Caenorhabditis elegans: one gene and its partner. The protein of the gene in region 2 interacts with the protein of the main gene of each other region in a pairwise test. Each region holds a gene or a part of one and is shown on either strand. Other genes may lie near its edges.

Region 1 (3,756 bases), on a different chromosome or scaffold from region 2:
GAAACAACTCTGCAATTCTAATATTTTCAGTGCTAATGCTCACAGTCTCAATTGACCCATCGCGAAGTTTGGCCTCAAAATGTGTATCGATTACTTTAGGATCTTCCGCCGTCTTTCTTGCCACTTGCTTCGCCGTGAAAACCCTCTATTTCTGGGCAAATCATTCTTGTGGGCACGTCTACCGCGAGGATTGTTACAATTACCTAAGCACACTGGTCTGAATGTATTATTTTTATAGCTTGTTATTCTACCCACTTCTATATTGAGCTTTTTCATCACGCAAAGTTTCTCAAAATTGACACCAATGATCTGATTTATTTCATACACATAAGACTAATAATGAATTCTTATTGAAATCCTGATTAATGGATCTTTTTTAGTTCATTACTAATACAAGGCTTATGTTCATGAATTCGAGGGAAAACTAAAAGAAAACAGAACAAAAATGACGGAGCAGACATAAATCAAGATGCGGATAAATAGTAGTAACATACATAAGAGATATCTATTTTGTGTTTTGCAATATTTATAAATATTGTTTTTTTTTAATTTTAGTAAAAAAGTTTGAGAAGCAAGTGAGAAAGTATATTTTCAGAAGAGTAAAAAAAAACAAAGATTTGCAAGAGAAAAAAACGTTTTCAAAATTGTGTTCTGAATGCCTTTGGACGCGTCGCGGTGGCGCTGCGTGTTCTTCCAGCATGGCATTTTTTCCAAAGAAGAAACACGTTTGCATTTGTTCGTCGCCCATTTTTATTCGTACATTCCGTACAAATTTTATCAGTTTCTGATAGATTTAATATTGTACAATGAGAATTTCCTATTTTTATTTGGCATTTCGCAAGTTAAATCATTTAAAAACAGCTTTTTGTAGAGAAAAATACTGAAAACTACAGTATACTCAATTTTTTGTGTTCTTCAAATTAAATTTGTTTCATTTATTTTTATTATTTTCAGGTGTTAGCTAGCAAAAATGGTTGAGCTTGGAGGAAAAGGGCCATACTCGACATCGTTCGATAACTCTGTCTTCATCATCCCCGCAATCGTTATTGTAGCCGTTTTCGGTGAGTATATTAAAACTAAAAATAACAACGAATCTCGCAATAATTTACAATCTTCAATAGTCAAATCTTTTTGGTCGGGCTATTTGTTAAGACCAACATAATTTTTGAGTACTGTAGGTCTAACATGTTTTCCTTTTTTTGAAGATAGGCTAAGTTCCATTAAAAAAACATGCTTCTACCGTATTCAAATTGATAAAAACAATTCACACATCCATCAAGCAGTTGATAGAAACATAATGTTTTCAGCCTACGCCGTTATCAAGCTCCGTGACACCACTTTGGCTAAGGATAACAAAAGCACGGCTCGTCAACGCCGTGAGGAGAAGAAGAAGGCCAAGTAAATGTACAAAAACAGGACTACATCCAAAGTTCACATTCCAAAGACAACTCGACATACAATTTAACAATTTATACTTCGATTTCCATTTGGGTTTTTTTGTATTTATTTAAAAGTTTTATTTGATATTAATAACGTTTTCTAATGTAAAAATAAAATTGATGAACGGATCTTGTTTCTCCATTCTCTACACGCTGCTCCATATGGTTTCCATGACAACACGCGCACAGCAGTGAGCAGGTGAACATCGACTCTATTGCTTACTCTAGGGCACGCTTCAGTCAAAAATGTCGCTTTTTCGGCTCGTCGAATGGGTTTCACAAACAATTCCTAATACGTCAACTATATTGAACGCTTCATTTTTTCAAGATAGAGGTACTTTTTTCAAGATGTCAAGGTCTCCAGTTCGATGTCATGGTTGTGCAATTTTTTTTGTTGAAAAAAAAAACGAATCTCAATTTTGCTCCACTGAGTATATAGTTTTCGACGTTAAAATAGTAACATCAGTAGGATTTTTCCAAAATGCACTCAAAATTAATTTTTGGTCAAAAATTTGGCACATTGCCAAATTATTGAAAAGTTGGTTTTTCTTTAATTTAGAGAATTCTTAAATATTCCAAGCTTGAAAATGTTTGAATATAAATAATTAAAACAAATAGAATGATGAACTTGTGGAACATTTTTAATTTTGGTCGGTTTCCAAAATCATGATAGGTGAAAACTGACCATTCTTTTTTTGACTAAATATAAAATTTTTCAAATATTTGGAAAATTTTCACAATGATATTTGGTCATCTTATTACTATCGAAAGGCTCTAAACGATTCCCCCGTCATTATTCCAGAGCAACTTGTTATTGGAGGAGAAAACGGTCAAATTACGATCTCAGATCCAGGATTCAGGGATACCAATGTGACTTTTAAAAGTCGAAAGATTGCAAAAAATGTGGTAATTTCAGGCGCATGTACTGTGTACAACTGAAACTAAATATGCTATACTCCAAATGGCATCTGATAACTTTCTACCTTCAATGAATAATATTCTTGCCGTCTTATCACCAACAAAGTTAACCTATTACAAAGTTCATTTTGGTAAGTTATGTATCTATTCAGCTGTTATTTATCATACAGAGTGGCTCATAATTATGACAAACAGATGTGGTATCATAAAAACTGTTTTTTTGCAAACTAGGTCAACTCCAAGATATTCCTGATCCAACATTACATTAATAATTGAATACATCTTTCTAATTCGTTAATATAAAACACGTTTTGATAAATCGAACTATGAAATCTATTTTGACAGGCTCCATATTTTTGAGTCTTTTCATTTTGAAACCGATAGTTGTTGATACATGTTTATTTAACTTCAAAGAGAGATAAATACAATATTTGATTCGGATTGTCTTAATAAATACGGGTCATCCTGTAATATACAAAAAATAATAGGCTCAAGTACGAAACAAGGCTGTGCGGCTGGTAAAAAAATTCGGCTGTCGGCTGATGCCGACAGCCGACAGCCGCACAGCCCTGGTACGAAATGGTTAAAATTTCAGCAAGTCCTGATGAAACCCTCGCATCACTTGATGAGATATTCTCTCATTCTTTTTCAACATCTGCATGGAATATGTGTGTAATACCAATTGAAGAATCAACTCCACAGATATTAGTGCAATCAATTGATTGTAAATTATCTTTGTTTCAAGGAGATCAATGTGTTTTTTCAATGGTTCCATTGAGAGCTCTTCAACCAGGACCAATCGGTTACTGTCAGACTACACAAACTCTTTTTGTTGCAAATAATGGATTCTTAGCTGCTATCAAATTCAGTCTTATGTCAAGTGGATCGCAGAAAAAGATTAATGTAAGCTGTGGACTATTGAATATTTTTCGAATGTCCAATATCATCGGGAAACTAAAAAGTATTGAGTTAATTACAAATAATAAACCCAAGCTGTCGAATTTTGATAACGCTGAACATTTTTTCAAATATGCTGACTTTACACTGACAGTAAATTTGAGTCTTCTTTTTTTCAGTATGACTGGTCTTTTAATCTGGGTGATACTGCAATACAAATGAAAGTAACCGAAGGATCTAAACCAACAACCATTGTATTATGCCGCCGACACGTGTCTGCATTTAATGCAACTGGATCAGTTGTCTGGCAGATTCGTTTAGAAGCTGTTGGAATGGCAATGTGTCTTTATAGATCACTTCTGATTAGTAAGATTTCATATATTTTCAAACTTTTATTAATGTTTACTCTCAATCAGATAACACTCAATTCAATCGTTTAATAGTTTCAACATCTGACGATACATTGCTAATATTTCAAGATAATAAACTTGTATGGAACTGT
Region 2 (3,756 bases):
CTATAGGAGTGAATATTTCCATATTTCTCCTGAAACTGAAGATTCACGGGTTCGTCGAGAGCATTGTAATGCGCGAGCATCAGAATCTTCTTCCCTATAACCACGCTGACCATCGTGACACCGCTTCCACCTTTTCCATTCACGGAACCATAATCCATATTTGTGGGCTCTCCGTTTGTCGTCGTTGTGCTCACTGTGGTGCCCTCCAGTGTGGTTACTACAAATTTAGGTATTACTTGTATCAATTTTTAATGCCACGTTTTTTCGAGAGTTGGTTTTCATCTTAATATTGTTCTCTTGAAATAAATATAAAATTGAGGTCAAATTTATTTGGAAAGTTAAAACCTCTTGCAATAATACCCAGTAAATCGGAGGAACTATATTTTCATTCAATTCATTTCTCTGGGTTGACTGTTTTCAATTTTTTTCCAAAACATGATTTTCGAATATAATTTGAACGGAAATATTCTAACCTGAAAGTGTATTATCGTCACTACAAGAAATTACATAATCCTCCGGGGTTACTGTAATCTGTGTGACACTTCGTTGATGTTTTCCCATCACGGCTATCCGCCGAGACGTTCGATGATTGTAGACGACGATATTTCCTGCGTTGTTGCCGATTACCAGTGTAGGAGTACTTGGGGACCATGCAAGACATGTTGGGAGCTCTCTGGAATGAAGCAAGTTTTGGTGTATCACTTTTTAAATCTGAAGTACGTAGAAATACAACGAAAAATCTGTAATCTTTTGAAAACTCCAAAAAATCTCACAGTTTCAAAATTTTGAAATAATATTTTGTAACCGTATTTAGAAAATGCCCCCGTTTTTCAACTCACTTTGAAGAGGTCGCTCCACTCTCAACAGTATCTGTATTCCGCGAGTTCACATCCCATAGATAAATAGTCCCGGTATTTGCTACGGCAATCGCTAGTACATCACCTTCCTTATCCCAAGCTATGTCGATAAGTTTTCTGGAAGTTGAAAAAAGTGTAAATCACGAAAATCTTCTTTTTTCTTTACATTTCAAAAAACTCTGAACTCACCCAGTTGGATTCAACGCGTCAATAACATTTCCTTTCTTATCGTAATAGATGACCGTGTTATTGGCGCTGAAAAGTATAATTTATTGCTTGGAAAAGCTCAGCTTTAAAATGCATTTAAAAAGCTTCAAATTCAGAAATTCCAGAACCGATAATAATAAATTGAGAAATAATGATGAAAATTCAAATTTTCAAAAATCTGAACAATCAGCGATTGGCTCCACCCATTTTCAAACCAATCAAGGTCTTTGCAAACGCATTGGTCATGAAGCTCCCATTTTGGAAAAAAAATCAAACAGGACAATTAGCCAAAATTGAAAATCCTACTTCTAAAAGTTGGCTTTAAATTCTTTCTCGATTTTTTTCGTCTTTTTTGGAGTTTTTGAATTTTGAATATTTTAAAGAAAAATCTTTAAAAAAGATACTGTTAAAAATAAGAATTAAACAAAAAATAAACAAACCATGCAACAGCTACAGTATGCCCATTTGGTCTCCATCGATGAATAATCGGTCCACTTCCGTGCTCTTCTTCGCCTCTTCGATATTGAAGCTGAGCAGAAACACATTTAAATACTTCCTGATTTTTTGTGAGAGTACACGGAATTACCTTTAATGACATTTATATGAATGAAGATCTCCGTTGTTTTCGACGTTTGCCACTGCTCCCCTATGATTTGTCACTTATGTCACGAGCCTACAAATAATGGTTACAAAAAATGAAGTACAAATCATTGAGCTACCCGAGCCTTTGGGGAGTTGTTGCCTTGGTAACCGGGCTACACAGTGTGTGTTGAGCACGCAAATTGAGGAAAGAACAGGGGAAGTGGAAGAGGGGATTTGATCATTCCCGGTTTGGGAATAATGACAATTAGTAGAATTTTCTGGATTCTCGAGAAAAAAAAACAAACCGCAATTTCATCTTTTTATGTGAATATCGAACAAAAATATTTGATAAAATTATTCATTTACACATCTGGGGCAAATACATTTGTAATGGGAGAGCATTACGGGTACACTAAATTTTGAGAAGTATCTCATAGCGAAAACTACAGTAGTTTTTTTAATTAGTACTGTAGCACTGCTCCGATTTTATTTTGGTTTTTGGCCATTTATTCCAAGTTTAGCCAAAAAATGCACAAAAATGCCAAAAGGGTATTCTTTTTTTTAATTTTTCAATATTAAAATTTTTAGAGAAAACTTTATAATCAAATTCCAAAACGACTCCACCTTTAATAACTTCAAATATTAATTTAATTTTAAATTTTAGACTTCAGAAAATTATTCTTAATTTTTGTTCTAAACAGATTTCCTTTTTAAAATCCTCCTTTTCTCACATGTCACATTTTTCATTGTCATTGCCAACTTCTAACATATGACGTTCAATATATTTTTAACGTTTGTTATCTCTTTTCAATATATCTTCTCTAAAAATCAAATTTCAGCTTCTCCACCATATCCCCGAAAATCTTCAGTGTAACCTCCACAGGAAACCGGTCCGAGGTTCACCGTCCACAGGCAAAACTGGCGTCGAATACACAGCCGACATCGAATCGTACGACACTTGGCCGCCGTAAGGCAATTTCTGACGACAATTTTCCCGTCGTTGAGCCGATATTGAAGAAAATGTGAGTGCGTCTGCTGCGCATCGATCGATATTATTTGGTTTATGACCCCTGGTTTCTCATTTTTCGGTTTGAATATTAAATAATTGAACGAATTAAAAAAAGAAAGAATAATTAAAATCACGTGATTCTTTTTATCAATTAAATTTTCGTGTTTAGTTTTTTAATCCGCATTTCAAAAATTTTCGCTTTTTCCGTAAAAATGGCAAGTTCCACAAAAGTTTCCTTACGGTACCCGTTATTTTTTTTTGAAAATTTCGCACAAATTGTCATCATTTTCAGTCGTCCACCTCGTCCACAGGTTATGTACTCACTGAAGCCAAAAGTTGTGGAATTTGACAAAGTATGGGTGCAGTTGAGACCATCTATCATTGATATCATCAATTTGCGGCCGATCACCAATGTTCAGTGGCATCACAAGTTTAGGTAAGTTTTGAAGGAAAAGTTTGATTTTTTCCAGTGATAGAAATTTCAGAAAGTATCATTTCTGTCATTCAACAGATTTTTCGAATTTTTAATTTGAAAAAAAAGATTTTTTGGGATTTTTTGTTCAAAAATGTCTTGATTTTTGGCCAATATCTAAAGTTTTTGTGCAAAAACTATTTATATATAAGGCAAAAATTACCTTTTTGTTATTAATCCGATTTTGTAAAAATGTTATGTTTTAAAAAATCAATTTTTGAAGTTATTTTCAGCAATCGCGTTGTTTGTAAGCAACAATCCTAAATTCGATTTTTGACAGAGAAAAAAAGTTTTTCGAGGATTTTGTCCACAAAATCCGAAAATTTTTTGACAAAACTATTTTTTTTTATTTCACGTGTATAATTCACTGAAAAACTCAATCATTATTCCAAGAATTGTAAAAAATTGCTCCAAAACACTAACATTCACTTATTTTCCGATTAATTCAGGATTATCCGAAAAATCGATTTAAAAAAACATTGTTGCAAAATCGGATTGATGATCTTATAACCTCTTAAACATACTTTTTAAAACCATTTTGGTAGTATTTTTTGAACAAAATCCATTTCTGGGAAAAAAACATGAGAATTTTTGAAAAAAAAAAAGATTTTTGTACTTTCCAAAGAAAA

What was found. Proteins that work in one complex are often made in the same cells at the same time.
Region 1: the proteins of dyf-2 (region 2) and bbs-9 interact in a protein complementation assay, tested with the Caenorhabditis elegans proteins (one study listed by BioGRID).

The regions. Positions count from the first base shown.
Region 1 is NC_003279.8:6,920,885-6,924,640, reverse strand, and holds the start of bbs-9 (Protein pthb1 homolog), read left to right. Parts: upstream 1-1,667; 5' UTR 1,668-1,685; coding exon 1,686-1,773; intron 1,774-2,241; coding exon 2,242-2,309; intron 2,310-2,355; coding exon 2,356-2,488; intron 2,489-2,952; coding exon 2,953-3,260; intron 3,261-3,433; coding exon 3,434-3,620; intron 3,621-3,670; coding exon 3,671-3,756. Other genes in the region: C48B6.9 (uncharacterized protein), read left to right, coding at 31-221; C48B6.10 (Small integral membrane protein 15), read left to right, coding at 971-1,061, 1,308-1,402. UniProt on the Caenorhabditis elegans protein: Component of the BBSome complex. The BBSome complex is thought to function as a coat complex required for sorting of specific membrane proteins to the primary cilia.
Region 2 is NC_003281.10:13,684,784-13,688,539, forward strand, and holds the start of dyf-2 (WD repeat-containing protein dyf-2), read right to left. Parts: upstream 1,757-3,756; 5' UTR 1,663-1,756; coding exon 1,651-1,662; intron 1,594-1,650; coding exon 1,505-1,593; intron 1,113-1,504; coding exon 1,047-1,112; intron 975-1,046; coding exon 840-974; intron 674-839; coding exon 474-673; intron 218-473; coding exon 1-217. Other genes in the region: cul-2 (Cullin-2), read left to right, coding at 2,868-2,896, 2,948-3,091.